Linked DNA regions of Mytilus edulis. The protein of the gene in region 1 purifies or fractionates together with the protein of each later gene. This does not show direct contact. Links are inferred from orthologs where the notes say so. Each region holds a gene or a part of one and is shown on either strand. Other genes may lie near its edges.

Evidence for each region.
Region 2: the proteins of transcription initiation factor TFIID subunit 1-like (region 1) and transcription initiation factor TFIID subunit 9-like purify together in Drosophila melanogaster (affinity purification with western blotting; 3 studies listed by BioGRID, with this or other methods). This does not show direct contact. The link is inferred for Mytilus edulis from reciprocal best matches to the Drosophila melanogaster genes Taf1 and Taf9.

The regions. Positions count from the first base shown.
Region 1 is NC_092351.1:17,066,826-17,084,396, forward strand, and holds the start of transcription initiation factor TFIID subunit 1-like, read right to left. Parts: upstream 7,097-17,571; 5' UTR 6,929-7,096; intron 4,748-6,928; 5' UTR 4,740-4,747; coding exon 4,641-4,739; intron 4,335-4,640; coding exon 4,223-4,334; intron 3,747-4,222; coding exon 3,651-3,746; intron 2,182-3,650; coding exon 1,967-2,181; intron 1-1,966. UniProt on the Drosophila melanogaster protein: TFIID is a multimeric protein complex that plays a central role in mediating promoter responses to various activators and repressors. Largest component and core scaffold of the complex.
Region 2 is NC_092346.1:100,410,037-100,427,584, forward strand, and holds the start of transcription initiation factor TFIID subunit 9-like, read right to left. Parts: upstream 7,284-17,548; 5' UTR 7,254-7,283; coding exon 7,133-7,253; intron 1-7,132. UniProt on the Drosophila melanogaster protein: TFIID is a multimeric protein complex that plays a central role in mediating promoter responses to various activators and repressors.

The DNA.
Region 1 (17,571 bases):
GATGAAATGTAGTGCATTTTAGGCCATGCAATTTTAAATAAACTGCAAGAAAATAACATATATGATATAGTCATTCTTGTTTGGCTTGATAACTCCTAATATTTTCGATGACAGTAAAATAAAAATCTCTCAATAGAAGAATCCTAGGTAAGAAAAAGTTCAGGAAAAAAGCATGCTGAAACTTTGGGTTAGGTGAATAAAATTTTTTACAGGTAGCATCAAGGTAGATTTAAATCTAACAATACCAACTGGTCAATTTAAATGTTGGCTCGGTACTTAAACATCCCGTTGGTGTGTTTGTATTGTCTTTCATTTTTTGCTGGTGTGTTTTGTATATAACTTTTTGTATTTCGTTGGTTCTATTACGTGACTCTGTACTTTAAAAGATCCCGTCAGTATAATATTGTTCTATTTTATGTCATTATGATACATTTTTAATATGAATTACAAAAAACGTTGGACCACAACCTCAAAATTATTCAATCGCGTAGTGGAATGAACTATTTGTGGATTCTTATAAATTCTATATAACTTTAGGACTATTTCAAATCTCTGTCTATTTCTGAAATTAATTCTTACATACTTTTGATTTTTTAACCCTGTATGCTAACATTGCCTATGTGAAATTTTAAAATAGTTTGTATGTACATTGAACGACAAATATATGTGACGTATAAAATTTTCTGACGTCAGACACGCGAATCAATGAATGAGTTTGTACATAGATGTTTTTGTGTTCTGTTAAATTGTTCCTTTTAAAATTGTTACACGATGATGACTGCTGTACCTATACTTTGACTATTTTATTTATTATATCTGTTTAGTTCACACATCATTGTAAATATAACGGAATTTGATGAGACTGTCATCAAAGTGAGAGGGTTAGCGCTATAAAACCAGGTTTAATCCACCATTTTCTACATTTGGAGATGCATGTACCAAGTCAGGAATATGACAGTTCTTGTCCATTCGTTTTTGATGTGTTTTGTTATTTGATTTTGCCATGTGATTATAGACTTTCCAATTAAGATTTTCCTCTCAGCTCAGTATTTTTGTGATTTTACTTTTCAATTATGAACTGACTCACTCAATATGAGTTCTGAAATAGCTTCATATTGTGGAATTTTTAAATCCAAATATATGTCAAATAATTTAACATGTTATCATGCATGCGATGGAAAACTGAAACAAATTAATCCAACATACATCCCACAATTAGAGAAGAAAAGACAGTACAGTAACCCCCCAAAGCAAGCAGTTTTACGATATATAAAATAGAAATGAACAGATTTGTTTTCAAGTCTTGGTCAGTAAAAATTGACAATAAGTTTGGCAAAATGAGGCATATAAATCGTCAAAGGAGTCTTGAAAAGTACATTTCTAAAACATTAGTTACCATAGATGTGTTTGTACTATTAATGCAATTATTTTTGAACATATGAATCAGGTCCTTTTTTGTAAGTTTAAAAAAAATCCTTCATACATATTACAGGGTTTCCCAAGGTCGATTTTCCTTAGAAAAACAATATTTGTTAAAGAATAAATCATGTTCGCAACAATGCTATTTTTCGCAAAATAAGAAAGTGTGATTGTCAACAGAAACCCTTCTAAAACAAACATAACCCAGAGACTTGAGACTTAGCATTCAATCTTAGTCCAAAGACCAAAGAAAATGACACACTCTTACCTCACCATCCACCTTCTGTATATAGCATAAGATATGTTATAACAATGAAGTAAGCATTTATTTTGACCTCTTAGAAAAATAACTGCAATGTTTGTCATTATTTTATAGAGTTCTAGAAAAAGCTGTAAAATTAAGCCTTGATGATGGAAACAGCATTGATTTCAATACATATTAATATGCATAATTTCAAAGATAATTTTCAAATAAGATTGACCTGACTGACAAGTTCTCGACTTCTCAGAGTGATTTAGCACTGGTACCTATATATCTGTATCTTACCTGGCCTGGTCTGAATTCTGGGAATAGTTCAGTAACATCTACATTGGATAACTCTGGTGGTCTCAGTGAAGCAAGTGGTGTATGATACTTGTTGGCAGAGTTTTTATCAGGGGAGGTAAATCCAGCCTCATCCTCAGCCTTAGGAGTTTTTGGCAGCCATGATGGAGGTGGCATAAGTCTAGAATCTTTATCTTCATATTCACCTGTTTCATTTCCTATAAAAAAAAAAAAGAACATGTCTGTAAAATTACAGCATTATTTGATGGTTCAACTCAACTTATATAAACTATCTATGGCTGCAAATATCTTTTGGGGATTTAACTAGGTAATACTGGGCAGTATGAAGTGCTGGTCTGGAGTCTTTTAAATATACTATATTAAATAAATTAGAAAATTAAATGATAAATAACAAATCACAATTCCCATTTATAAATGATATAAATAGTTGAGGTTCAGATAAAATTTAACATTTGACAGTTTTATAAATCATAGGTATTTTTTTTTACATAATTGATTGATTTGATCAGTCTGTAATTATAAAAGTACTTAAATTAAAAATGTAGTTTTGAACTAAATGTAAAAAAATTGAACTGTCCAAACCCTCATGGGTATTCCACAGGATTTAAAACACTGCAGCAATAGTAATACAATTAATGATAAAACTTGAATATACTAGTGTTCTTTTTGCAAAGAATTATTCAGAGACAACAAAGCACAGGTATCCTCATCTATTTTATAATGGAACTGCTAGCCATTAAGCAATCAAAAAATCTTGCTTTTACTGACCTTTATGCAAAATTCTCTTTGAAAACAATGGATGTGTATAAGGTTTTATGTCAGTACATGTATATAAACAGTTACTTCCCTTGAAAACTCTTTATACAGGTATTTACTAATTAAATGTTATGGCAGCAACCAAATTAAAATACAATTACTCTTTATTTTAGAAATACTAAAGGATTTAAGTTTCCAAAGTTATATGTAATACTGTTAACATAAATGTACAAAACTTATTTTACAATCAATACTTAACACTCTTAAAATCTTTATATCAGATTGTATACGGGGAAAAAACATGCCAGAGCAATAGATAAACTAAAAATTAGAGTGCATTTCGCCTGCTAACTATCATAAAATTGAATTTTTAAGAGTCAAAGACTCAGTATTATCGCCATTTTGTGTATTTTTCCATAGAGCTTTTTTTGTGATAATTTTTTATATCATGCTACTCGCTTGAGATGGAAAATTATTGCTAGAAACTTAGGAGTCACATGGTTTTGCTAATGAAATTGACATGAAATTGACAATGTTGCCATAGGTAAAATAGCGATAAACAGATCATCATTGGCCATCTCAATTCAATTGCTTTTCTCGGTTTCCCCATCCCGGCTCAAGTGAGAAAATCAATCTCGTATCAACAATAAATATAATCTATAAATATTTAAATTAATGATGTTCATGGACTTCAGAATATTTTTACCGATACTTGTTATTGACAGGTAAGTAGATATTTTAGATGAACAACTTAGACCTATCGGACACAGAGGCCACTTTATGGGAATGTGAATACCGTATATGAAGATGTGTGTTATACAGCAATAATAAATCAACCAAATGATTTTGAAAAAAAAAAACTTCCACAGAGCATGCATTGTGACCATATATACAAAGACATCATACAAACCAACAAATGCAAATGATCGCTGTTCTTCGTCCTCTTCTACAGTCTCATTTATATCAGAGTAGTCCACTGCTGTAGAGGCTTTGTTACTATAGTTATCTGAAAATATACATTTTACAACTTTATATCAAACTTCTGCAAATTGACACAAGGATCTGTTTATATTGAATCAACAAGATTATGCTCTAATGTGTCACTGGCTTGTGTGTTAATGTAGGTGTAAACTGTAAATAAAGTCAGATAAGATCTATAACATTAAAATATATATATATTGGGTTGGCACTTATCCATTTTTCTGACTGTATGGTAGTATATCTTGTGTTGTTTTATTGCCCCCTTATTGCTGCTCACAGATTACAAATGTATTTTTTTTTATCAAAGCATCAATCATGTGTAGATATTCTAAAGTAGTTTATAGATAGAAATATATTTATCAAAGTAAATGAACTATCAGTTTGCAAAAATCATTCATGTAATTAATGTAATTTCACTCTTTGAAGCCATTGTAACTAAATTAGCAAATCCCTAATTGACAACAGCAAATACTCAATACAGCACTGTTATTCCTTGATTACCTGCTCCATCTAGTGAATCACTTCTGTCTCCGTCTTCTGAATCAGTGATCTCTTTCACCATGGACCCAATACCACCAAGAAGTTCAAGGGATCCAAGATGTCTCTTTGATTCCTACAAGAAAAAGGAAAATTTCCATTATTTCTAAAATAGCAATTCACTGACAAACTATGTATCTACAAGAGTAAGACTTATTAGTCAATCTTGCAAATTTTTACATGATAAACAACTAAACAAGAGACATATACTGCAATAGTTGTTTCAAACTTCAAATGCTTAAGCAAGTCATTACTGAGAAAGGAAATGGTTCCAAGAAGAAACAAAAAATCACTTAATATTTTCAACACAGACAGAAACACTACATATACATGACCTTTTGCTTTACGAATGGTGGACTGATTACATGCAGATACATCTTACCTCATCTAGAAAATCTTCATCAAGCTCTCCTTTGGTGTCAATGTTACCAAACAGAAACCCAGTGAGAGAAATAGACTTGTCCTCATCATCATCATCCATGATGGAGGCTGTAAAATAGTTTAATAATACATAATTCAGATATGACTTCAGTATGATGAGAAAAAATATATTCCTTTTTTCAAAAACTGAAATATTGCCAGCCCTAATGTGTTTTGATTTGACGAGACCAAAATGATGTGTGACATGGTTAGCAGCCATTAGAAACTGAAGGTGAACAAAAGAGGGCAGCTGCTGTAGCTAATTACTACATCATAAATTCAGTGATTAGGAAACAATTAAAATGTATTAGAAACCAAGCTTGAAAGAACAAGGAGTAAAAAAAACCAAGCTGAGCCTACAGAAAAATGCAATGAAACATGTCCTTAAATGAACAAAGTATTCTCACAATGGGAAAAAAAAGTAATTGAGAAAATAGACCTTAAAGCAGATAATAATATAAATAAACATACATAACTTCTCTTGATTATGTGAATATTATCGAAAATGCAATGAAAAATATCAGGTCAACATTTTTTAAAGTAGCATGTTGCTGATAATAAATACTTATGCATGATGTCAAGAGTAAAGTAGAAATGCTGAAATGTCACAAACTTGCAGTTACAAAAAATGTATTTATGATACATATGCTGTACATTCAGAAATTATTGCGAGGTTTTTATTATTGCGAAAAATGTGACAGGGTTATACTATAGTCATACACAGCTACTTTAGAACAAGTAATCTTGATGTACAGTTCTAAAAATGTACATCTGTAAAGCTGTATATAATCTGTACATCTGTAAAGCTGTTTATCAACTGTACATCTGTAAAGCTGTATATAAACTGTAAATCTGTAAAACTATATATAAAATGTGGATAGATATCGTATCACACAAGATGCACTGGTAGAAACTATATGTTTAGCTTATACACAGATTTACAAATGTGCAGTTAATGTACATTTTTACAGAGTTGCAATTTATATACAACTTTAAAACTGTACAGTTTATATACAGTTTTACAGATGTACAGTTTAAATACAGCTTAACAGATTTACAGTTTATCTACAGCTTTACAGATGTAAAGCTTATATGCAGCTTTATAGTAGAGTTTAAATACAGCTTTACAGATGTATCTGTATAGGTACGTTGTAGCTACCAATTCTGGCTTTTATACAAGGAGAGTGAAGGCGCCGTCGATTTATAGACGTTTCGCGAGAGCAGATTTAAAGCTCTCCACACTTGTTGCGCGAACAATAGTGTCTTCTAGATGGTTCCAATTTACTATTGTGGACACAAAGAATGAATTTGAATGTTGCAGTGTTTTACTAGTAGGAATGTCAAAACACCTGGTATTGTTCCTCACTTGTTTTTCAACAATGTTTGTGGCTTGATAGTTGTCAAACTTTTTAGCTGTGATGTTTCGTCTTGGTCTTGCTGATTTGAGGAAGTCGTCTGGATCAATAGCAGGTACCAGCCCCTCAACCACCTTGTACATAAATATAAGCTTTTGGCTTGTGCGTCTCAATTGTAGCTCTTGTAGTTCTAATTTTGTAAGCATGTTTGTTATGCAGCCATCTTCTCTAGTTCTGTAATCGCCTGTTATAAAGCGTGCTGCTTGTCTTTGTACTCGTTCTAGCTTGTTTGAGTCTGTAATACTGTAGGGGTCTCATACTGTTGCTGCATATTCCATTGTAGATCTTACTTAAGGAAATGTAAGCAGTTTTCTTACATTCCTGTGGGCAGTATCGTAAATTTCTTCTGAGGAAGCCTAGGGTTGAGTTTGCCTTTTTGGCAACGTTTGTTAGATGAACATTTGATGCATCTTTAGAACTGTACATCAAGATTACTTGTACTAAACAGCTACAGAAGCTGTGTAATAATTTAAACAGGATTTTTCTCAATATAGCAAAAAAAATTAAATCCCATTTAAGTCCAAAATTACCATTGATGACAATAATAAATGCATGCAATAATTTCTGAATTTACAGTCATGACACTGACAGTACTCAGTAGCTGCTTTTACCAAAGGATCCCTGTCCACTATGGTTAGGGTTTTTTTCTAAACAGTTTAGGGCTAGTTTTAGGATTAGGTAAGTTCAGTAAAGTTATTTACAGTTGAGACTCATAATTTAAAGTAAATAAAGACCAATAATTCTATATTTTTGGTGTAAGATGTCATAAACATCAAGAAGGTAAAGATTGAACGTTTTAATGATAATAGCATTCGTATCTTAAAGACAAACTTACTTTCTTTGTTTCAAAATGTTACATCACTAATGTTTTTAATTTGTAAATGTGCCTGTCGGTGTTTAAATTGTACTAGTTAATTGCAAACAGCTATTTTCATGTATTTGATGTATTGAATATTGACGGATGTCGATGGCGCCATCTGTGAGACGATAAAAATCTAAAACCAATTTCGGAAAAAGACTGTCTGAAATCCGTGTTATTAGTGTAATTAAATAAATGGAATTCGCTTGTCACCGGTAATCAGACACCGATAGTATCATACATTCACTGACCATACAAAAATACACTGGACAATAAAATAGCAAAAGTAAAAAAAAAAAAATTAAATAGTTGAAAATAAAAAAAAATTTATGCAAAACACTTTGTTTGTCGATATTCCTTAAAATACAATTTTAAAGACAAAATAAAAAAACCATTCAAAATTAAAAGCTTTATACAGTATCTAAAATTTGATAATAAAAAAAACATTATTAATGCCTGTGGTCGTTGAGATAATCCCTTCTTTAAAACGTTACCCGTAGGCCGGATAGGTGTAGGTGTAGACGTCGGTATTGAATAATTATCTGAATTGTTTAATACGGTAACCAGCTGATACCATATATCGATAAAAAAATATATACATTTTGTTAGAAAATACCGTATTCATAAAATCGTAGCCGGTGCCTTCATAAATTAGTGCGTACACCATTTCATTACCAAGAAGTTGACCGTAAACGGATTTGGCCTAATTACCCACATTTGATAATTACCACTGGCACATATATGCCTTGAAAAGTTTTATATTCCAGCTTCCAAAATTAAATATTGTCCATACTTTTATTAAGTACAATGTTTACCCAGTATTGAAAGGCAAGGAGCGCAGCAGTGGTTGGACCATAAAAATACATACGCAGACAACTATGACCATACGCTTATGGTCCATAATACCATAGATGTCATACCCATACGAGTTGGACCATATACATAAAAAAGCTACTCAAATAATAGCAATATATATATCGGAGAGCAATTTTATCAAATTCCACAAGTACAACAACACTTCCACAATAAGCACTACTATTTTGCATAAATTATACATGTAAAAAACTTTTCTGTAAATTGAAAGAAATCTATGAGATAGAGTTTTGAAATAATATACGACTAGACAAAGTGATGCCCTCGCACTCCACTCAGAACAGGGCCGTAACCAGCCTCTTTTAAAAGTGAGGCAAAATATAATCGCGAAAAATTGTGAGAGTTTCCCGGGCTCTTTCTTACATTGAAACGCAATTAATTTTTAGCTATTTTTTTCGACAATATTCTGGTATGAAAGCAAATAATATATAGATTCATTGTACATGTTGTAATTTCAGACTTTTAGGTTTTAGGGACAACATAAAAAGATCGATATGTAGGAAAAAACCAAAACTCGAAATTATCATAATCATTAATACCGAATTTGTATTTTTGTCTTGTATTGTGTTTAGACTTTGGTGATATTTTTTTATAACTAGATTTAAATATAGTGACAGTGCAGTATTATACTTCAAGTACTAGTACTGCTTAAGTCGACACTAGGGACCATCTTGACCTTGTTTTTGGTTTTAATTAGTCTTTCATTGTCAAAGGCCCTCCAGCGACTATCATGATGAAGAACAGGAATAAAAACCCTGACCATTGATGATTTGTATTTTTTCTATGCATTGACTTTGTGTGCGATTAAGTCCCGTTTACGATTATTCCATTTCCTTTATTTTATTTTAAAGTTTCTGAACACGACTTAAGGTAACGCAAGTTTAATACTTCAAGGTAAAAGATCATATGGCAATACATTGTTGTTTTTTTCACTGAATTTATTTTTATACCGGGAGATGTGTGGTCTTACTTTAATTTAAATTTTAAACATGTCAGCTTTCTAGTTTTATCTACAAAAAAGAGCCAGTTTTGTATATATTTTTTTTTTATAAATTTCAATTCTCCTTGAAGAAACGTCGACCAATTTTCTGTGTCCAATAGCATCGTATCTTCTTAAATTATTTCCTCGCACCTTCTGGACATCGATGGAAATGCAACATTGCCAAAACACACATTTACTAATGAAAATCAACACTTAGACTATAATCAAAAAGTAGGACAATAAATGAACAAAATACAAACCTGGGTACAGATACTAGTAAGATACATAAGTACAAACAATAGACCATCAACACTGAAAACGAAAAGCAAAATAGAAATATGGATCCCGAGAAACATGCAGGGGCGACACCAGAGAGTGAAGAGAACTTGCTTCTTGCAAGACACTTGCCATGAAAACAATTTGATATATTTTTTTTTAATTTTCAGCATGAGGCATTTGCCTCAGTTGCATCCATGTAGTTACGGCCCTGCAGAAGTAACTGTATTATTATTAACAAAATAAATGTAGGACTTTCTTTGAGATATTTCTGTGTCCGAGAGACACAATTGATGTCCCCGCAGATGCAAAGAGTTATTTAAAAAAAAAAACTATAGCATTAATCCGCATATACCATAAAAATAACAAAGTTCAACTGTCACCCAAAAGAGCAAATATTAATAAAAAAAGTAAAACACTGAACACAATATATATGTACAAAGAGACACCAAAGTGAAAACTTCCTAGGATTCAAACTGTAGGAGGAGTTATGCTAAATTACTATATACCCACAATGGGACGGACGGACAGACAGAAGAACGGACGGACAGGGGTAAAACAATATGCCCCCAATACAAGAATTATCTCCCCTTAAATCTTTAAATGGCTTAAAAAAAAGTTGAGTTGAACGCTTAAATATATTTGTTGTTTTTTAAAACATTTCAAATAACAGAATACATCTCATATATTTATCTTTATTTTAACAAGCAGTCTACTGTGAATACATTTATTTTCGTGGGTACTAATTTTCGCGGATTGATGAGAATCTGCATTTTCCCTGATATTTGATTTCTTTGTTTTGCCAATGTCTGCTTACAACCCTATAAAATATTTCCAGTTTATTGAACTTTTAAATTCGTGGTTCACCTGTACCCAGGAAATCCAGGAAAATTGGTATCCAACGAATAATAATGAATCCCCAGTAACTCATAAATTATCAATCTGTCTCAAAATTATCAAATTGAAGCAAATAACTATTACGTCCCGCTATTTCACGATGCGAGCTCGAGATAGCAGTATAAATTAATCCGCCTTTAAAAAATGAAGTAAAAAAACACTCAAACTACTTTATGCGTCCGACGCGCTTTTCAGCATTTACATTTTACCAGGAACACTCAAAGCCAAACATTTGAAAGTCCAGGATGTATAACACCCGAACTTTTGTAGAGCTATATGACAAAAAGGACCTATAATAGTAGTCACATCTATCTAAGGTAAACAATGCACGAATGAGTTGGAACCGAAGTTTCACAAATGCATTTATGAACAATGAAGGGAGAAATTAAGACAGATTTGTAAGTACAGAAGCACTGACTTCTGAAATAAATTTTATGCGTCCGAGGCGCAATTATTTCTGGATTAACCTTGCTCAGGAACGCTCAAAGTCAAAATTTGAAAGTCAAGGATATAAACGTAGGAAACTTGAGAAGAGCTATATAATTATATCCGATTACAGACTATGCCTTTTTAAAGAACTTTTGATCTCCTAGTATCAAACAAGTAGCAAATCACAGCTTGTTCATATCAAGGTTGAAGGAAAACTACAACATCCAATTAAAATATCAACAAAATCAAAATCGTTTGTCATCCACTCGAGTGAGACATAAATTTAGATGTTACTAAGCCGATTGTTGTCACTGTAAATGTAAAATATAAGTATAGTTTCTGCAGAGCATTTACTTACGTCTTGTATTATATTAGATACTACCCAGTAAAAAGACAAATTAACATCATTTATGATCAATGAAAATGAATCTAATACCAGCAATACTTGATCTAAGAGTTCAGAATAAACCTTTATGAAAATTAAAGCATTTAGTCGGTTGTTCAGCATTATATTAATTTTACAGAAAGAATTGTCTAATAATACATTTAAAACATTTATAAATCTCACTAATGTCAATCAATCTCGATATTGGCTATCATAGATCTGTTATAAACCTTCCTTGTTAAGTTCAACTTGGTTTCAGTACGCGAGGTGGATTTTCGCTCATTGAACAACACGAACATGTAAGATGTATATGCTTTGCTTCGCACAAAAGAATTACAAATTGTTTGACAGACAACCAGACCGTTTGTAATTTTAATACAAACGCATTAAATCAGAAAAAGATACAACAGAAATCATTGGCATGGGCGAAACATGGGAAACAGCATTTAACGAACTAGATAAAAGACTCGGATCAAACCAACAGAAGTCAATTTAGTTGCACACAGAAGCTAGTAGTATATGAGTAGAAGAAGTGCTAAATCAGGAACCTGAGGGTTAGCAACTGGTCATTGCGTTTTCAGTCGTCGAAGATTGCATGCACATGGTTTAAAGACATAACCCAACCCACATACTTAAAACTTGGCTTCGGAATAGACAGTAAAGGCAATTTGTATCATAATGTCTTTTGAAATCCTATGGTGTGTTTACAGATAACAACCCGCTCACATATGTTTTGACCACTGAAAATCTAGATTCGAAAGGCAACAGGGGGCTATAAACGTTAGCTGCATGCAATATCGACGTTCTATATCGTGCAGTGTTTCTGTTGTTCCGTTGTTTTCTTCTTGTGGTTGATGTGTCTCCCTCGGGTTTTGTTTGCAATCCGGATTTATTTTCTTTCAATCGATTTATGACTTTTGAAAAGGGGTATACTACTGTTGCCTTTTCAGTAAAGCAAAACTCAGAAGCATATGCATTGTCACGATTTCATAAACTAGATGCGAAAACCATATATATGTTAGTTTACAAAATTATGAGCCAGGTATTTTTTTTTATAAGTTTTTATATCTAAGGAATCCATCGAGGACATTAAATTAGCTATATCAGCACCGTATGTTGTTGGATACAAGTAGCATTGTAATGCATATGCAGAATGTAGATTCTATTAACTGGGAACAGTAGCAGCGGTAGGATTCTGAAATTCGACAGTTTGTGAACTTGTAAAGTCTGATATGGAACTGATAAAAGAACAACTACCACCTAGTATATTGCAAAGACACTTTGATCAGCTTACGATTATAGATAATGTAATCATACTGAGAGATAGGCATCGATGACGGATATATCAGTCAAATAGTTTAACCAGCAACTCATGTTCATGTGGTTTTTAAGTACTACATGTGAGATGTATTATCCTGGCCGCGAACACTCTAGTTCTTTAGTGCGCGACATACAAAGATGGCCATCCATATCCGCAGTCATAAACGAGAGGATACACCAAGGCGAGATATACTAAAAGAAGGAAATACATCTTGTGCCTTTAAAAAAAACATCGTAAAAATCGATGGATATATTTTGTCTTGATTTCCAAACATTTGAACCATCAAAAAGGAAGAAAAACAAAATATACAAATGTACTACCGATAACATTAACCACACACACAAGCAGTGACTATATGGAAACAGATATAGAACAGGAGCATTATTTAACAGCTTTATGGTATATCATGGAATACATATCAGACTACTCTAAAGACCAAAGAGATAATTTCACTTCGGTGTTGACATGAATATCAATAATGTGGTCATTTTTTTTTTATAAATTTCCTGTAAACAAAAGTTTAAATTTTTCGAAAAACTAAGGATTTTCTTATTCCAGGCATAGATTTCCTTAGCCGTATTTGGCACAACTTTTTGGAATTTTGGATCCTCAATGCTCTTCAACTTTGTAATTGTTTGGCTTTATAAATATTTTGATATGAGCGTCACTGATGAGTCTTATGTAGACGAAACGCACGTCTGGATCGAAGGCAGCCACAGAGAATTGTTGAGTAGAAAGTGGGTTTTGACTGCGAGGACAAGGGGTACAAGATTGCAGAAAGTAGAATATCAGTAGGTTGTGAACTAGAAGCGATTTAATGTAAATAAATAAATAAATAAAGGCAACAGTAGTATACCGCTGTTTGAAATTCATAAATCGATTGAGAAAAAAAAATCCGGGTTACAAACTTAAACTGAGGAAACACATCAAATATAAGAGGAGAACTTGAACACAACAGAAACACAACACTACAATGTAACACACACAGAAACGAACTATAATATAATAACGGCCATTTTCCTGACTTGGAACAGGGTAGTTAAGAAAAAGTGATTGTTCCTTTCGTGATCTGTATATGTACCAAATATATGGAAAACAGTGTGTTTTATGATTCATAATTTTTTTTTCCTTCAATTTTCTTGTCTATTTTTGACTGTATAGTACTTAAATGTAATTTTTATACAAAACGCATAAAATTAGTTGTTTTTATAACTAGATTGGAACAGTCAATGCAATTAGAAGTGATACTAGCAAAATTAATAGTAGCAATTTTATGTGTAATTTTATAGATCTGTCAAATTAATAAAGCAAGACTGTCATTTGAAAACATATTAATGAGTTCTATATCCATTTTATCAAATCTATTAGAATTGGGGGAGGGGGGACATCCGATTAACTGGTAGGCGTTTTTGGTATTCGATAATCGATTCTTCCGACAGTTAACCAGTTAACCCATTAAACGTTAACAACACTAGATATAACATTATCATTATAACTACAACCGTCAGTTTTAAATTGCATACGTATCAGGTGACTTTAAACTGATATTATTTATGATAACAGTTGTTTAACGATGTTCAAATCTCATAAATCGATTAAGAGGAGACGAAACAAGATGAAGAACAACAACCGCGGTAACTCTAGAAAGCGAAACATGGTGCGTCGTCTTGTTAAGTGGTCCTCTATGTTTGTATCGCCCATTATGCGAATTTACACTCAATTAAAATGTCAAAATAGGGAACATGACAAAATTGGTAAAATAACAGACCAGACGACGGTATTGCATGGTATCAAAAAATCCAAGACCGCGAAAAATACCGCTAGTAAGCTGAGACTCCGACACCATATTAGTGATGGTTATTGTAAAACTTATTAGTGCGGTGACGGAACAGTTAAAAGTCGATTATTAACAGAGTTTAATTTCACTTTATGGTACACGGCTAAAAATTGGTCTATATCTAGAAAAATGATTTTAATTTAATTTTAGACTGGTCGTCAAAAAGTCGTATTGTGCAGTTTTTTTAAATTTGTCGTTTTGTTAGCAAAAATGACATAAAATATGAACTCTACGAGGCATGCCATTTTGGCCGGTTTTTTTAAATCGTTGCAAAATATATGTATTTCTTATAGGATTTAAATATTACATATAATATGTTATTTATTAAGCAGTAAAGCTAACATCATAAGTCTTTTGTAAAAAAAATATGAAGATACAAAGCTTTAAAACTTTGGACATTTCGTCGCTTCACCGGATTTCAATACTTTGCAAGAACGCATTAATCTTTAAATTATGAACTAACTTATACAACGTGAAAATTCAGAAAATACTCTTTTCAGTGACATAATTTTTTATCAAATAAAATTTCTCAAAAAGACTTGAAATAGCATCCAAAATATTCACTATCGAATTACAATCTTACTTAATTTTCCGGAAAGTCGTGTCAGGTACGGCTCAGATCTATTATTGTTATCCTTATTGATTTTGAACTTCAAGCGCACCATATGTTCGATTACTAAATAGCAATTATCACTTGATATTACTTGTATTTGTTAAAGGTTCTTGGTTTCTTAGTTTATTTTGTTTGTTGTTTTCTATTTTGAGGTTGTGTTAATAAGGTTTAATTCATTTAAGAGGAACATTTGGTTTTACGTTGGAAGTTATTTTTAGAAATTGAGATCTGGCCAAACCCCAAAAGATGGCATAACAAGGAAGTCCGTTGAAACGTGGCCCTAGTTGTGCAAAGCGAATGAAACCAAGTTTAGTCTTAGAAAAATGTATTATTTGCCAGAAAAGCAGTAATGAAACAGTTGTACCAAGTCAGGAATATGACAGTTGTTATCCATTCGTTTGATGTGTTTGAACTTTTGATTTTGCCTTTTGATTTTTGATTTTGATTTTTGAATTTTCCTCGGAGTTCAGTATTTTTGTGTTTTTACTTTTTATTTACTAATAACAGTAAATCGAGGTTTTTTGCTGCATTTGGTAAGCGTAAAGATGATATTTACATGAATTTGATAAGTGAGTATGATTCATTCAGTGATATACCGAATGAAAGTCTTGAAATGGTTTATCATAAAAGTTGCTACAAATCGTATACAAGTGAACATAATATTGCAGTGTTTACTAAGAGACAAAATGATGCATTAGCTGGCGGTTCAATACAGGACAGTCCAGTCACGTATCTTAACTCGATCTATGTCTTCTCCTACCAACTGGAGTGCTTGTATATTTTGCAATAAGAAAAGCTACAAGCAAGACAAAAAACTTTTTTAAATAGAATCAGATGACAGGGTTACTCGCATTACCATCGCTGCAAACTATAACGGTGATTTAAATTTGCTACATAAAATTAATCAAGACAATTTTAAACAACAAGTTTTTTACCATAACCAGTGCATTGTAAAATATCTAAAGTCTTCAAATAAAGATATTGAGGTCATTGGTAATTCAACTTCAGAATATGAATCAATAAATACAACTGCTTTTTCCAAATTAATCTCCAGCATAAATGATGATTTATTAAAAAATAAAAAAGCATTTCTATTATCCTCTTTAATTGAGAAGTTTGTTTTATACCTACCCGAAAATATGCGTACAAGCTTTACAACAAGAAAACTGCAGCGATATTTGGAAAACCATTATGGTGATTCTGTTGTCATTCAATCACAACAAGGTCAGGGTAAGTCCAACATTATTATGAGTAGCAATATAACACTAGGGGATGCAATCAAGGCAGCCAGTAATTTGAAAGCAGAGTTAAAATGGTCAAATGAAAAACGAAAGAGTCGTATGAATAACGAACAAACGGATGAACAACTCCTTTATTCAGTAGCAAGTATAATACGGAGAGACATTAACAAAGTAAGATTTTGTAAAGAGCACTATCCAACTTCAACGGAGGTATCATTCGATAATTCTTTACAGTCAATGCCCGATTCTTTGGTCAAACTACTAAGTTGGATTACAGACGAAAAGGCGTTTAACACTTGTACTGTTCCTTCTGATATCAAAACAGAAAGCGTGAGGAAAAGTTTGGCTTTAACGGAATGTATTGTTGCAACTAGTCGTAGTATCATGACACCTTTTCATCTTGGTCTTGCTATTCAAGTTTACCACGAGTTTGGGTCGAAGCGTCTTATTGAAATTCTAAACGCGCATGGGTTTTGCGTTACATATACTGAATTGCGGAGATACCTTACCAGTGTTGCAAACCATGAGATCAGTCGTATCAGTGGCGATCGATACATCCCAGGAGGTATTCGCCCCATTTCAGAAGGAGGTCGATTGATTCAAGAGGGTTCCGATAATGTTGACATTAACGCCGAGACAATAGATGGGCTAGGGCTGTATTTCAAAATAAATCAGCTGGCGTTCATGACTATGGTTTAGAACGAATCAAGCGAGGAATTGAGAGATCGTTGACTATAGATGATACAACAGCATCATTGACCGATGCTATTCCGTACCTTAAACCAAAATGTAGATCAGAACCTCCACGACGATCGGATGCATATAAAAAGTTATGATGTTGACCAGATATGGGTGTTCTCCAGACTTTTGTCGAGGGATGTCATAGAGTTCCCAATCGAAATAAAAACGAATGAACAAAAGATTCCTTTTTAGACAGGGTACAATTGTCTTTTGTCTACAAAGGGCGCCGATGTTACAGTTGTAGCATATCCTCCAATTATAGATTCTAAACCGAATGACATGGTCACAGTGTATACTGCCATGAAGAAATGTCTTGACATGTCTAATGAAGCTGGACAGGATTTCGCTATTCAAATATTTGACCAGCAACTCTATGCAATTGCTCAACAAGTCAAATGGTCCAAACCGGACATTGTTAATCGCCATATTCTCAGACTTGGTGGTTTCCACAGCTTGTCGTGTTTCTTAGCCTCTATCGGGAAACTTTGGGCTGATGGCGGTCTTCGCGATTTGTTGGTGGATTCTGGTGTGTATGCTGGAAATACAGCTGAACTTATGTTGAATGGCAAAGAGTTTAACAGGGCTGTCAGAGGGTTCACGCTTGTGTCTGAAGCCCTACAAGTTCTTTTTATCTCAGCATTTATACACTGGTGTAGGACCTTTGATTACTTCGATCAGATACCATCTGCGTTCTGGAATGTGTTGTTAGAGTTCCATACCAGTATATGGGACCAAACGGACCAAGCCCCAGAAATTAAAACTAGACTGGAAAAGTTGTTTGAAGACCATGTACAACCTCGAGCTCTTATCTGTATGTTCAAAGAATTGGGACACGATACATCACCTACTTTCAAATATTGGGACATGTTCCTGGTTGCCGTCCAAATTATGTTGTCAAATGTACGAGCAGAACGAGAAGGTAATTGGTCGTCACATTTGATGTCCTCATCCAAAATGCTGCCCTATTTTTTCATTACCAACCGTACAAATTACTCTAGATGGATGCCTATATATATTCTCGATA
Region 2 (17,548 bases), on another chromosome or scaffold:
AAACTCAGTGACCGCCGTGGATAGTAAACTTGGAAATGATAGCAGATAGCAAATACACGTTATTTAGTCTTTGGTATGTACAAAGTACAGAAAAAACGCAAACCGGATGTCTAGTATGACTTAAAATTTCTTCCAATGATGGAAAAATATTCACACGCATTTTTTTTCCGTTTTTCTCCCAAAATAACCCAAACTGAATAATCATAAGAATGGATGACAAATGGGACTATAAATGGTACCTATAGGACACAGAGGCATGATGATTAATTTAGTGTGGAAGGAAGAGAAGCGACACACAAAACGAGGTCTTCTCGTTTATTAGTATATGTATTGCCTCCTCAGTCCCCAAATTTTCATATCAACTTTTTGACAATTACAATGTCAAAATGAATGTAAGAAAAAGTTTATAGTTAACACTATAGATAAAGTTGTGTGTCAGTTAGATAATGGAATATTTGCATTGGCAATCACACCACATATTCTTTTTCTTACAATTTGAGATTTCTGTAAAACATTATCTGAGGAGCCCATAACTCCTGTACACATGACAGGATCTAAATAATGATATTATATATATATATGGCCAACTACAAAATCTACAATCCTATCAAGTTCGTGAGCTTTCTGTCAAACAGTCTCCAGGAGTTACTTAGAGTACCCAAGATGCCATTGCTTTAATTACAGCATGTACAATACAATAAGAAAATGGTCAAATTTCCACAATTCCCATATTTTTTTTTAAACCAATATAATGTATAGCAGGGTCAAGGGAATGTGAGGAAAATTTATTGGAATTTACTGTCATGTACATTGAATGCAAGCTTTCTATCAAGCTGTCAGTTTATTTTGAAAATGGGACTAAAGGAGAGACATGTACAGTGACCATAAAATTATCCTTCACAGTGCTACTCACATTTGCACCGACAGAAAACTTTTAACTGGAAATGCATTTCACCAAAATTCAAACTGAATGTGATCTGCATTTTATGTTTCATAATATCATGAATATTGTTTTAAAATCTGAATAGATTTTGGTAAGTATTCATTTCATTATCACCTTATCAAAATTTAAAGGTCCAAATCTAAGTGTTATAACTCATTAACAGTAAACATTCAGGGATACTGCTAGAACAAGTGATTTAATTATCACTCATTTCAGTCATTGGTCGATACATCATTTTTTTTTAATGAATTTCTTTTTTCATTTGCACATGATTGTCATACATGTAGTACAAAATGTAAGTTATAAAGCTTAAATAGTTTGATACATTGAAGAATATAATTGCAAGACAAAGGTTGCTCTCATACATGTATGTCAAAGATAATGATACATATTTTTAATTTATACAACATATGGTTTCTGTTTTTTTTTTTCTGATGACAATAAAGGAGTCTAGGGGTTCCAGCAGATCTCTGTCCTACTTCAAATATTTTTAATCAATCAATTTTTTTCTATTTACATGTACATGATGTACATGATTTAAATTTTAAAAAAATTAAAGAACCTTAGTGCTCACATACCCCACGTCCCCACATTGTCATTGGAGAAATTAAATAAGTTTAAGAAAAAAAAATTGTATAAGAAAAAATACTGAATAATAATTTCCTGTCAATATACACATCTACATAGTATGTCCTCATTATCTACAAAATTTCATGAAATTCTGTTGTGTGTTTTCAAAGGAGTTGAGATGACAAACTGTTGCAGAAGTACATTGAAGCAAATAAGTTCAAAGGGGCATAACTCCTAGAAAAAAAATTGAATCGTAATTTCCTGTTGATATGCACAGGAAATAATTCGTAAATATAACTCAACATGCAGACATCTTATACGTTCAGGTATTTCACATCCAAAATTTTATGGAAATATTCTTTATAAAGCACAAAAATGTCAGTATTCTCCTCAGAAACTAACAAAACCTTTAAATAGACTTATTAAAAGGGGATATAGTTACGATACTGTTGTCAGGTCATTAAAGATTGCATATTTTGGCTTTAACATTGATTCACTGATAGGGTCTTTGCATCGGAACTAAACACATTTATTTCTAAAAAAACAGTTGTTGGCATGACACGGGTTATGTTCTTCTCATATATTTTATGATAGTATGATACTAAACCCCTAACGGGAGGGATTGTACCTGATATTCATATGATGAAGACATAATCTTTCAATCAGTTTAATTGAGGTCTGGAGCTGGCATGTCAGTTAACTGCTAGTAGTCTGTTGTTATTTATGTATTATTGTCATTTTATTTATTTTCTTTTGTTACATCTTTTGACATCAGACTCGGACTTCTCTTGAACTGAATTTTAATGTGCGTATTGTTATTCTTTTACTTTTCTACATTGGCTAGAGGTATAGGGGGAGGGTTGAGATCTCATAAACATGTTTAACCCCGCCGCAATTTTGCGCCTGTCCCAAGTCAGGAGCCTCTGGCCTTTGTTAGTCTTGTATGATTTTAAATTTTAGTTTCTTGTGTATAATTCGGAGTTTAGTATGACGTCCATTATCACTGTACTATTATGCATATTTTAGGGGCCAGCTGAAGGACACCTACGGGTGCGGGAATTCTCGCTACATTGAAGACCCATTGGTTGCCTTCGGCTGTTGTTTGCTCTATGGTCGGGTGGTTGTCGCTTTGACATATTCACCATTTCCTTTCTCAATTTTACATCTACGTAGTATGTCCTTATTATCTACAAAGTTTCATGAAATTCTGTGGTGTGGTTTCAGAGGAGTTGAGATGACAAACTGTTGAAGTAGTACCTTAAAGCAAATAAGTTCAAAGAGGTGCAACTCCTAGAAAAAAAATTGAATCGTGATTTCCTGTCGATATGCACAACTACATAATATGTCCTTTTCATATAAAAAGATTTCGTGAAATTCTGTTGTGTGGTTTGAGAGGAGTTGCGGAGACAAACTGTTACAGTAGTACATTAAAGTAAATAAGTTCAAAGGGGTGTAGCTCCTAGAAAAAAAATGTAATCGCAATTTCCCGTCGATATGCACAACTACATAGTATGTCCTTATTATCTGAAAAGGTTTCGTAAAATTCTGTTGTGTGGTTTGAGAGGAGTTGTGATGACAAGAAACAGGACTGACGGACGGACGGGTCAAAAACATTATACCCTCCGCAACTTCGTTGCGTGGGGTATAATAACTTTTTAGAGTTATCATGTTGGTTTGTTCCAATGATAATTTGCTTCTAAATATTATTATGATATGTTGACCTTTATGACAAAATTTAATCCATTTAGCATTATTATTTGTAATTTTGCTAACTGTCTCACAGAGATTTATCTGGAGAACAATTGTACTCAAAAATCTAGAAAATTTAGGAACAGGCACTTCATTCTGGTTATAACAATTTCAAAACCTTTTATCATGGCATTATAAAGTAGGTATTTTGGCTGTTAACCAGATGTCCATGTCCATGTATGAATGTGAATCAGTAGGTATTTTGGCTGTTAACCAGATGTCCATGTCCATGTATGAATGTGAATCAGTCTTAAAAAAATATATATTTCATAACATTATTAATTTACTTTATATTAACTGTATTGTCTTCTTAGTTTGAATTTTCATTGATGCAATGTATGTAGTAAGGGAGATAACTTGTGTATTCGAAAATAGTTTAGCCAGGGAGATAAATTTGAAAAGCCTCAGCTATGATATCAGCAATAATTATTTTGCTGTTTATAGTACATGTGTATAGTATTATTGTCAGGTTTTTTTAATTTTGTTTGTTATTTAATGTTCATGCTGTATTTGAAAAAAGATCCATTGTTTGGCCTCTATGAATAATTTCAATGAACTCAAACATTTCAGATATTGGCACTACATGTATGTATAAAATGTATTTCAATTTATACATGTTTACCAAGACATATAAATGGCCCTAAATTTGAATGTTGCTCCTAATTATATTTCATTGCCCTTCTTAAAATGTATACATGTATTGATAGTTAACAGGTATTTTGTTGTCTTTATAGAGATGCAATTCTGATTTAATGCAATGAAGATTACTCAAACACCATCAAATGTCCTACTATTTTTTTTAAGTAAAGAAATCTCTGTATTACTGAAAAAATTTACAGCAGGGTTTTAGGTATCACAAACTTGTCAAAGCATTTACTAAATTGTATCATCAGTACAAGGACATCATTCATAAACATAAATCAACATGCAGGCATGTTATACGTTCAAGTATTTCACATCCAATCTTTTATGGTACAATGTACTATTCAATACAAAGCACAAAATTGTCAGCATTCACCCATAAAGCTAACCAAAAGACTTATTCAGAAGGGATATAGTTATGATACTGTACATATTGTCAGGTCATTAGAGATGGCATATTTTGGTATTGATATTTATTCATTCATAAGGTCTTTGCATAGTAAATAAACAAATTTACTGGTTTTCTAACACCAGCTTTTAGCATGATACAGGTTTTTATGCCCCACCTACGATAGTAGAGTGGCATTATGTTTTCTGGTCTGTGCATCTGTTCGTCTGTCTGTCTGTTCGTTCGTCCGTCTGTTCGTTCGTCCGTCTGTCTCGCTTCAGGTTAAAGTTTTTGGTCAAGTTAGTTTTTAATGAAGTTGAAGTTCAATCAACTTGAAACTTAGTACACATGTTCCTTATGATATGATCTTTCTAATTTTAAAGCCAAATTAAACTTTTGACCCCAATTTCACGCTCCACTGAACATAGAAAACGAAAGTGCATGTTTCAGGTTAAAGTTTTTGGTCAAGGTAGTTTTTGATGAAGTTGAAGTCCAATCAACTTGAAACTTAGTACACATGTTCCCTATGATATTATCTTTCTAATTTTAATGCCTAATTATATTTTTTATCCAATTTCTTGGTCCATTGAACATGGAAAATGATAGTGCTAGTGTGCGTGCGTACACGTGGCATCGGTGTACTCTGGACACATTCTTGTTTCCTATATTTTATGATATGATACTCAACACCTTACGGGAGGGATTTTGCTTGATTTCATATGATTAAGAAATATAATCAGTTAAATTGAAGTCTGGAGCTGGCATATCACATTGTCAGTAACTGCTGTAAGTGCTTTGTTAATCTGCATCTTCAATGCTATGTTTATTTTTTGCCTATATGTCTGACATTGGACTCAAACCTCTCTGGGACTTAGTTTTACTAAGCGTATCTGGCATATTGCTGTGTGTTAGTTTATTCTACATTGTCTAGCTATATATAGATGTATAGGAAGAGGATTGATATATCACAACATTCTTTTTTATATTAATCATACATCTTTTTTTTATTCCTGATCAAAGTCAATAACCCCTCAATATATTAATGGCTAATTCATTTATGAGAGGTACATTTCAAGTGATAGAATTTTGTAATATTCATGGACTTATTTCTTTTTTATTATTAAAAACAAGTGGACTCCTCTTCAACATGTTCAAGGGTGGTAATGTGGGTACCTTCATGAGGCCAAACAAAAATATATCTCTGTTTACGGTTACCTGACCGACTCTAATTTTAGCGCTGACCCTATGCCATTTTATTTCCGACGTAAAGTGAAAAATTAATAGAACTTGAGTCAATAGCGACGTAAGGGGTGCCAATAAATTTAATCAATTGCCTGATACATCCAAATGTTCACAATCATGAATATGACAGCTGTTTTAAGGAAACTCACAACTTATGAAATGAAATAAAAACTTTGCCACTATTTTTTTCCAACCAATAACCAAGGGAAATAATCCAATCATTAAAAATACGGATTAACTCAGCCCATGGACAACTCGGACCACACAACTCAAAATCATGGCGTAAAAAATTAAATGGAAAAAAATAATAAAATCGAAATACCGACCTACCTACCCTATTAATTTTGATGATGTAACCTAAAGTCATATATTTTTTTTTGGCCTGATTAAAAAATTCTTGCTAGATGACCTTTAACGGTAATTTTTGTTGCATGACAATAAAATATGCACTTTCTTACACTGGTGTCATCTTTTTCTGTATTCTTTTTTTTAATACAAACTTTAACACCTCTTATTTTATTTTATTTATTCAATTATCCATTTGTTCTATACTTTATTTTTAAATTTAAAGACATTTTCTCTATTCTGTAGAATATACATACATGTACCATACACTAATTTATATTCTTCTACATATATAAAATACTGACATAACAAAATAAAATACTGTTGTATTGATAAAGTTGGTATTTGGTCTTGTTGGTCATACCGGAAACCGTAAATACAGATCAGCTGATAGTGGGAACCTGACGATTTGAATGAGTTACTTGCAAACAACCTCTGTGTCTAGACGTATACTTAGAACTAGAAACCTGATGGATAACCTAGTTGGTTGAATACTCCCGACTAAAAGGTAACTCGTATACATGTATATATATATCACACATATTCATTCATTCACCATTTGCCCATTTACAACAATACACATGTTGTTTTGTTTTATGTATATAAACCCTAGATGCAATAACTTACTTAGTATTACATTTTAGATGATGTAATGTTCAGGCTGAGTGCATAAGGAATTTAAATTGAACATTGTTTAAATTTTGGTAGAAGAAATAAAGACTCTAGCTGGTTCCAAAGTTTGCTCCAAGTTTTCAAAACTGGCGACAAATAAGGAGCTGGTGATTTTTCTGGCTCAAACTTTTTGGGAGCCAAAGCAGCACCTGAGCATCACCCCTCCATGCATGCTTTGGCATTGTTTTAAGATAAAAAGATAAAAAGCTATTTTATGGGGGCCCGGGATTATTTTTCTACAACAGCAAAATGCCCCCTTGTCTGTGGAAGGAATGGGACAGGCCTTCATTTACAAGTGCATTTAAATTTGGGAAATGTTCCTGTGTATGTGGTTATTTAAATGCACATCTCGCTTATAAAATGTATAAGTAGGCGTCCCAAAAAAAAAAAAAAAATAGCCTTGCCAGACGTCATAATTATTTGGACTAGCTTATAAGCAGCTGTGGCAGCTAATGTGGTTATTTTGGATACATTCTTATGTAATTGACGAAGCCGATATAGCATGATCATAGCAAAAATTGAATGTAGAACCACACAACAAAAAACATTTTCAAGCAAAATAAAGAATGGTAAAAAATTACTGTAAACAAATTCAAGCATTTGATTAATGACTCGTGGCTCATGTTCAGTAACACCAAGATCTTTCAAAATAGCAGTCATAATTTGAGCATCTCTCGGCAAACTTTTTGCTGGAGCGGCCATTTTTGATATAGTGTAAACTAAATAAAAAAATCGGTTGCGGATTTATTTCCGGGTTACATCCAATTCAAGTTTTTCTTTATAAATAATTCGGTACCACGATTTCCCGAGAAATACAAAAAAAAAACACCAACATTATACCCCCAAAACAAACTGATATATCCCGAGAAAAAGATTTTTTATGGTGTTATGCTACTTTTTATTGTTTTATACTACTTTTAACAATATTAAAGAATATTAATTAAAGATATTACTCATTTTTTTTCTCAATAAAAGTGTAATTTCATTTAAAAAAAAATCGATTTGTATGTCTTGTATGCAAAATCCTTGTTGAACACAATATGGCGGACATTCTAAAGGTAGACAACTTAAGTTTTAAAAGAACTGGAAGAATAGAAAAGTATCATAAGTACTGAAAGAATAGATTCAATTAAAAAAATGAAATTATAAAAAGTTAATACAACGTTATCATAACTTCATTCGGGTATTTAAGCTTACCGAATAATTTCTTTTATTTTACATTCATATGAAAAACTGATTGTTGTTAAAAATATCGTTATTGTTAATGAAATGAATTATGATTCGTCAAAGTTTTTAACTGAAATAACATGTTTCCAAATTTTAGTAATTATATTATTTTCTTATGAAAGATTAAATGCGGTTATTACTGTACAATTTTCTCTAAATATCTCCTTTTAAACTAAAGCTTGGTGTTGTTTTAATACAAAATACAAAATTTTCTCAAATTTTGTTCATAAAAAAAAATATGAAGACAATGGCTTGGTATTATTTTAGTAACATTTGCATATAACAAGTAATTTACGATTTTCTTCCAAAATGTCAGAGGAAATGAAATATCCGTGTATAAAATGTACTGATGTACTGATGATTGTGTCATTGCAATAACTAAAAACTGACCTGTGATGACTTTACGGGTTTTTATGTCTTTATAATATATACTTTTAGCTGTATATAAACTTTAAAGCATATATCAATGTGCTATGATATGTGCTATGAAACGATTTTTAAACTTTTCAATCACAAAGAACAATATGACCAACTCTTCACGGTCAAGCCTGCCGGTCCCAAGCCCGGATAAAAGAGGAGGATAGTCATACAAAACAAATATTGCAAAAGCGCAAATGTCCTATGTACAAAGCGCAAATGTGCGTTTTTAAAAAGCGCAAATGTCCTATAATTTGAAGCGCAAGTGTCCAAAATAAAAAGCACAAATCATACTATGAAAAAGCGCAAACGTCCCGCACCGATCCACTTATGACATGTATATTCTAAAGCCTAGAGATAAGATAATTAATTCATTTCCAATTGAGGTCCATAACATTTTAATACTATTAATTACAGTCTGTATTACAAAAAAATCACACAGGAGGTTCAAGCAATGACAAACAAATAAATTTATAATTATAATACATTAGAAAGCATCATTCAAAAAACAAAAACAAAGACCTGTCCAGAGACATAATAACAATGAATAAACTTTATTTAAATATGTATCTGTATCTGTATTTACTTTGGATAAAGAACTGACTGGATGTGAAAGTGACTATTTAATTGCAAATCTGTATATACCACCACACAACTCATCCTTTTACAGGATTCATAAATGGGATTTATTTTATGAGCTTGAGTCTCAAATGATACATTACTCAGCTGAATGTCCAAATATTTTTGTTATTGGCGATTGAAATGCTAGAACAGCTAATATGAATGATTATGTACAAAATGATAAATTACATGATAGTATTTTAGATAGGGTTGGTGATCTGTTTACATATGTTGCTGATGAGGCTTTTTCTTGCCGTAATAACCCAGATGCAGGAACCAACGACTATGGAACAAAACTACTTAACTTGTGTAAGAGCAGTGGACTTAGAATTATAAATGGGCGCCACCCTGATGGACTATCGAATGATTTTACATACAGTGGTCCAGGAGGTATGAGTGTGATCGACTACTTATTAGCTAAGCCAAATAACATTGAAAAAGTTTTAAAATTTATTACAAGTAATGTTACTACATACAGTGACCATGCTCCCATACATGTTCTATTAAATATAAAAAAAGAAGATGTGGTATGATTGCCAATGAGACTACTATCCACAAAAGACCAAAATGATAAAAACTGACTTTTCTATGCATTGCAATGATGTAAATTCAAATTTAATGGATGGTGAAGAATCCAAATTTTGATAAATGAGACATGGGTCTATAATGGTCAAACAATGGACATTGTGGATCAATTTTGTTATTTAGGTGTTTTAACACCCTAGAATTGTAAATTTCTTACTACACAGAAACATTGTGCAGAACAAGGTAGAAAAGCTATGTTCAGTATGAGGAGAACTACATCATCATTATGTTTAAAGGTATTTACAATGCTTAGTCTATTTGATACTTATGTTAGTAGTATATTAAAGTCATAAGAAACCTCAAATCAAAAAAAAATAATGCATATGATTTTTATAACTCAATGGATAGTTTTCATTATAAAACTTATGTACATATACTTTTTTCTGAAGAAAATTCTTTAATTTATTCATATTTAGAAGAAGTTTACTTTATTTGAATAGCTTCCTTCCAGCAAGCTATTCCCCCGACATATTTTCCGTATGCAAGGTGACCTCAGTGTGACCCATCTCGTAAAAATCCGGTGACCACAATACGCATGGATGTCCTTAAAATAAACTATTATCTGAATTTACATGTTAAACACGTGCTCAATTTCCATGCTTTTTTGTTTATTTTTCATTTCCAATTGAGGTCCATAACATTTTAATACTATTAATTACAGTTTGTATTACAAAAAAATCACACAGGAGGTTCAAGCAATGACAAACAAATAAATTTATAATTATAATACATTAGAAAGCATCATTCAAAAAACAAAAACAAAGACCTGTCCAGAGACATAATAACAATGAATAAACTTTATTTAAATATGTATCTGTATCTGTATTTACTTTGGATAAAGAACTGACTGGATGTGAAAGTGACTATTTAATTGCAAATCTGTATATACCACCACACAACTCATCCTTTTACAGGATTCATAAATGGGATTTATTTTATGAGCTTGAGTCTCAAATGATACATTACTCAGCTGAATGTCCAAATATTTTTGTTATTGGCGATTGAAATGCTAGAACAGCTAATATGAATGATTATGTACAAAATGATAAATTACATGATAGTATTTTAGATAGGGTTGGTGATCTGTTTACATATGTTGCTGATGAGGCTTTTTCTTGCCGTAATAACCCAGATGCAGGAACCAACGACTATGGAACAAAACTACTTAACTTGTGTAAGAGCAGTGGACTTAGAATTATAAATGGGCGCCACCCTGATGGACTATCGAATGATTTTACATACAGTGGTCCAGGAGGTATGAGTGTGATCGACTACTTATTAGCTAAGCCAAATAACATTGAAAAAGTTTTAAAATTTATTACAAGTAATGTTACTACATACAGTGACCATGCTCCCATACATGTTCTATTAAATATAAAAAAAGAAGATGTGGTATGATTGCCAATGAGACTACTATCCACAAAAGACCAAAATGATAAAAACTGACTTTTCTATGCATTGCAATGATGTAAATTCAAATTTAATGGATGGTGAAGAATCCAAATTTTGATAAATGAGACATGGGTCTATAATGGTCAAACAATGGACATTGTGGATCAATTTTGTTATTTAGGTGTTTTAACACCCTAGAATTGTAAATTTCTTACTACACAGAAACATTGTGCAGAACAAGGTAGAAAAGCTATGTTCAGTATGAGGAGAACTACATCATCATTATGTTTAAAGGTATTTACAATGCTTAGTCTATTTGATACTTATGTTAGTAGTATATTAAAGTCATAAGAAACCTCAAATCAAAAAAAAATAATGCATATGATTTTTATAACTCAATGGATAGTTTTCATTATAAAACTTATGTACATATACTTTTTTCTGAAGAAAATTCTTTAATTTATTCATATTTAGAAGAAGTTTACTTTATTTGAATAGCTTCCTTCCAGCAAGCTATTCCCCCGACATATTTTCCGTATGCAAGGTGACCTCAGTGTGACCCATCTCGTAAAAATCCGGTGACCACAATACGCATGGATGTCCTTAAAATAAACTATTATCTGAATTTACATGTTAAACACGTGCTCAATTTCCATGCTTTTTTGTTTATTTTTCGTCAATTGTTGACATACAGGTGACAATCGTTACACTTCGGCTTCAAAACACGAACTTTAATTACCTGCCATATTTTCACAACAACACTGACCGATTGAGAAAAAAAATTGACAATTATACGAAATTTACACGAAAAAAATGATAAATTCGAGCACAGAAGACGAAGTTTAGGATGTTTGTATGCATTAGTTCAAGAATTGGACGAACATTATTTTTCACCGGTCACTCGTTTCTTATGACTTTAATGTATTGGTGTGAGATATGGGGAGTACACAAGTCTCTTATGGTAGAAAAGGTCCATTTGGATTACTGCAAAATGTTGTGTCAAAATACCTCAAATGTGATGGTCTATTTTGAATTAGGTAGATTTCCACTGCAGTATGAGCGTAATTAAAGAATACTTAAATTTGGTTCAAAATTTTAATTAGTGACAACTGTATATTAAGGTCTTGTAATAGAGAACTTGTGTTAAATTGTTCAAAATGTATGAATTGGGTAACATATGTAAAAAGATTGATATATAGTCTTGGAATGAATAATTTGTGGGATAATCAGTGGTTGTTAAATGTAGAAAAGCTCATATTTACCTTTGATAAGACAGCGTTTGTTTGATAAGCCAACCAAGAGTTACAATTTTTATTAGATTCCTCTGCAAAGTGTAGATTATATAAGTATGTGGTTTTATTTACAGAAATGCATTCCTGTACTTTTTCGTAAATGTATAACAAGGATTCGTTTGTCTTCACATAATCTTTGTATTGAAACTGGACGTTATGTTGGTACTAATAGAAATGAAAGATATTGTACTGGTCTTTTTGTTATTTAGGAGTATTAATAGAGGATGAATTTCATTTCTTCCTCAAATGTAGTATATATATACTGATTTGCGAAAAAAATATATAAAAAAATATTACTGGTCTATGCCTTCAACTTTTAAATTAATAGAATTATTGTCAGGTGAAAACACAAAACAGCTTTGTAACTTAGGAAAGTATATACATTTCTCTTTTAAATTAAGAAACAGTTTATTGTAATAAAAGATATTTTGTATTGATTAAACTTCTGACGTCACCTATTGTTTATTATGCATATTGTTTATATTGTGTGTAATATGCCATACATATGTATACACTGTACATGTACTTATTTATACTGATGAGCCGTAAGGATCAAAGTTAATAAAGAATTTAATAAATAATTTTCGCGGACTTCATAAAGTATGCCCGTGCCTTGTGCAGGGTACGTTTGTAGTTTTAAAATTTCTTAAATAAAATAATTTTCACAAAATAAAGAGGAATCAAACTCATGGATGTAAAGAATTCTATATTTGAAATAAAAGTATGACAAAAATGTTAAAGAGATATAACGTCTGTCATATTGTTTTTAACAAGGAATTTGCATTCAAGACATAAAAAAAAAGATTTTCTGAAGGTTGCGTGTACTTTTATTAATAACGAACGCCTTAAACCTGATTATTGTATGCTGTAACACGAATTTAACCAGTATATCACCTATAACACCATTAAAAATCTTTTTCTCGGGATATATCAGTTTGTTTTGGGAATATAACGTTTTTCTCGTATTTCTCGGGAAATCGTGGTACCATTAATTATTGGCTTTTTTCTTACAAGACTTGAATATGGCAAACCGTATTACTATTTATTAGAATTTCAAGATAGCTTATATAATATATAAGATTTCTTAATTATACTAATTATATGAAATATCTTAAATAATTTATTAGATATCTTATATATCATATCGTATATAGTATATATATCTTATCATAGTATCTCAGTAAATACGATATCTTATAATAGTATCAAATATATCGTATATACTTTATAAGATATCTCATATATATTATAATACATATTGCTGACTTGAACCAACTACCTGAAAGTGCCATGGATCCAATTTCTAATGTAACTTTGGATAATAACATTTAACCCTGTACAGTTGTCACAAGTTACAAACATCACAAAATGTTATTTGTTTTCGTTCTTATAAATACAAGTGTGTTTTTTGTTTACAGTATTTTTAACTTGTCGTGCACTGGTTAATAACTGTGGACACAAAGAATGAGTTTGAGTATTGCTAAGTTTTACTGGTGGGAATGTCAAAGCACCTAGTATTGTTCCTCACACGTTTTTCCACTATGTTTGTTGCCCTGTTATTTTCAAACATTTTCGCTGTGATGGTTCGTCTTGGTATGGCTGATTTTTAAAAAGTCGTCTGGATCGATAGCAGGTACCAATCCCTCAACCACCTTGTACAAAAATATAATTTTTGGCTAGTGCGTCTGGCTTTTAGTTCTTGAAGTTCCAGTTTGGCGAGCATGTCTGTACTGGCCTGACCAGTGAGTGTAACCAAGACGACTGGGTTTAGGTGTCAGACCACCAATTAAAAATCCCTATCTGTTCAACCAAATTTTGCAATTTTCACAGCTTTCTAAATATTTTACCTTAAGTTTAACTTCATAGAAACCAGGTATATCCTTAATTGTACATGTATCAGCTTTCTACATGCCAATTCTCACCATACCTTTAAAGCCTTCTAACAAAGTAACTGACTATCAAACAGAGGTACTCCAAAACAAAAACCTGGTTTTCTTGAAATCTAAAATTAGTATACTATGGAGCGCATTAATCCTCAATTTTTAATGCAAAGTCATAGACAAGTAAATTTTGGCTCAAAATGATCTAGATATATTTCTCTTTCACCAAAAGTTTCATTTCTGCAAAGTTGTTGGTTACTAGTTTAAGTAAACAAGGACATCAAAAGCACTATTTTGTGTCAGAGTAGGGCTACTTTTACGTTCTACATTGGAGGGAGTAATTGGTGGTCTGACACCTTTAAGTAAAGATAAAACAATCAGGAGCTGACTTTTATTTCACTACCAATCCAAATGGTGAAAAACTGAAAATAGAAATATAAATACAATTTTACAATGTGTTCAATGATAATTAAAGTCCATTAAAAATACGGATAGAGAGTTCGTAGATATATAAAGCTGTTAAAGTTCTTTATAATAATAAAAATATGAATATTCTTGCACACGTCGGGTTCTGTCTTGAATTAAATCGTGTAATCGCAGATACGAACAGTTTGAACGGTAAAATGTTCATAGTTTCTGTATAACATAGAGAAATATATTAAAACAGTTCATCGCTAATGTGAAGACATAATTTGTAATGTTTTAAAGGTAACTAACGCTGTGGTTAGCCACGAATTGTTCTTTTGGACGTGTCCGCTGAATGTTCTTTGCAGTTGTGCACACGACTCACTGAGCAGTTTACGTCATTAGAAGAGAGGGGAAAGTAACGCGGATTCCTACACTGTCCTTTATAAAACTCCTAAAACTGGCGCACATAAAGCGATGTACGCAATGAAACGTTAAAAATATAAAATGATGATCACATGAAGAATAAATAATGAATGAATTTGCAGAACACTCCCCGTCTGAGGTCTATCTGACATCACTATTCCATTATCAAAAACAAATAAAATGCTATATATATATATATATAACAACAGTCCAAAGTTTTACTTTGAAGTAGTCCAACGGGAGGCTGAGTATTTCACAGCTTCTATCCTAGATAAGGCGGTGTTTCCGACGAGATCGCGGCGATCTAAGATCCAACTCCATGGCTGTAGTTCTAATTGAAGAATTTCCTTTCGACACGGATATGCGATCCAACGAGGACGTCTTGCAAGACGGACGCTTTCCCTTTACGTTTACGGCATACAGTAAACCATCCGGTGCCATGTTCCTTTTCTCTGTGACTTAAGTTGGAATTGTCTATTCTGCTTTCCTCTTGTCCTTGCGTATCCAAAAGCGAATTGAAGCTTTCCTTGGGAATTGAATGTTTTCGGATGTACTTTTCTTTGTTGGCATTCACTTTTGGTGGCGTTGCTTCCGAAGTGAACTTTTCGGCTTCTGCAAATCTGACGATAGAAGTCGTTTTCGGTTGCCCATGTAAACGGGGATAATGTTTTCAGAACGAATCAGTTTGAATGTCATTTAGTTGGGTGTTGGTTTTATTACGCTCAGGTAATTTCTTTGTATGTGGTTTCACAACACTGCGAGTTGGATTTGTTTCCTTTGTAGTGAGTTCAAGGTGAACATGTTGCTTATCGGAGCGTATTTCTCCAACGATAATCCAACCCAGGTTTAACTTTTGCGCAAATGGAGCCTTTGGTGGTCCTAGACGTTGATCAAGGACATGATGTGTCTCTATAAGGTCTCTTCCAATGAGCAATAGGATTTTGCATTTTCCATCAATCGGGAGAATATGTTTTTGTAGTTCTTGCAAGTTGATATTGCAATATATCCTCAGGTGTAGCAATTTCGTTCCGATTATTGGGAATGTTATCGCATTCAATCAGTTCAGGCAGATTGAATCTAGTATTGTCTTGTACAGACTTCACGACGAAGCCGTTTCCTCGTTTACCGGAAGTAACCTTGCTGCCGGAGCATGTGGATAACAAATAGTCTTTTGTTTCTGCCTGTACGTTGAATAGGCTGAAGAATTCATGAGCCACGAGAGACCGGTTGCTTTGGTCGTCAATAATTGCATACATGCGAATTACTTTGTCCTGATTATCTTTGTGAAAGACATTCACTGGAAGTATCTTGGCACACGATTTACTACTGTTGCCGTCTTTGGATATATCTGTGCAAGTTGAACTAACAGAGGTTAGCTTGGTTTCAGCTAACTCAAGTTGCTCCCCGCCGTCGACTGATCTAGGCGGTGAAGGCGGTGCACCTTTGGTTTGGTACACTCGATTAGTGTGTAATGCGGTAGTGTGTTGTTTACTTCCGCATTCATTGCAACTGATACTCGCGTTGCAATCACGACTTCTGTGCATAGTCGAATCATAGCATTTGTAACAAAGATTATTTTGCCTCAACAGTTCCTTGCGTTCCTCTATAGTTTTAGCTCTGAACCCACGACATTCATTTAGCGAATGTTTGGTATTGTGTATTATGCACAGATTTTATAGCTGTGCAGTCTCTCCAGATCTTTGTTCGACCGCTGTCAGTGTCTTGTGAACGTTGATTTTTGTTCCAGGCTGAGGTGTAAACCTTGGCGCAGCACCTTTTGTACTTGGTGTGACTCTTGACCCAAAAATGAATCCAGGATCGTTTTTAATTCTGCTGATTTCACTGATAAATGCAGATAACTCTGTAAAAGGTGGAAAGGCAACGTCGTGGTTAGATTTTTATCTAGACGCCCTTGTAGCCCTTGTAATCCACTTTTCCTGAAGTCCATAGGGTAGTTTTTCAATGACAGGGTTTATTCCGGTCGGTGAATCAAAATAAGCTAGCCGACATCCCAGCTTGGGATTTTCCTTGTGGTATTCTATTTCTGATAGAATGTCAGACAGATCGTAGAGACTTGCGTTGTCCTTATTTGTCAAGGTTGGGAATTTGTCAAGTTTACTCCTGAGAGAGGCTTCCAACATTTCTGGAGCACCATATCGCTCATCTAATCTTTGCCATAACCTCTGTAGGCCTCTAGTAGGGTTGTTGGCATTTGATGCCCTAATACTTATGGCATGTTTACCAGACTCTGGCCCTAGCCACTTAATAAGTAATGCTATTTGTTCCGAGTCAGAAACTTGCAATTTGTCTATGACGTTTTTGAAGCTAGATTTCCATGTATGGAAGGATTCTGCCAGGTCATTAAAATTTGTTAGCCTGGAGAATAATAGGTCTTTGCGTAGAAGAAATCTAGTTATCTCCGACGTAGGATTAATTTGTTGCTGGTATGCAACAGGGGTCTCTTCTATTACACCTTGTTTTTGGTTTGAAGCAGGGATCTCTTCTATAACGTCTTATTCTATGCGTAAGACAGGGATCGCTTCTTTAACATCCTGTTTTTGGTGTTCAGTAGGGCTCTCATCTGAAAGGCCTAGTTTTTGTATGCCGGCTACTAATCCCAGATCTGGGATTAAGGTAACTTCCGGTGACTTAGTATCGGAAGGTAAGACAGCAGATGTCTGTGACAGCAAGTTCAGTGCCGAGGACGGCACGAACGCTTCGTGACTCAGCTCGATCTTAACAGGAATTTGTG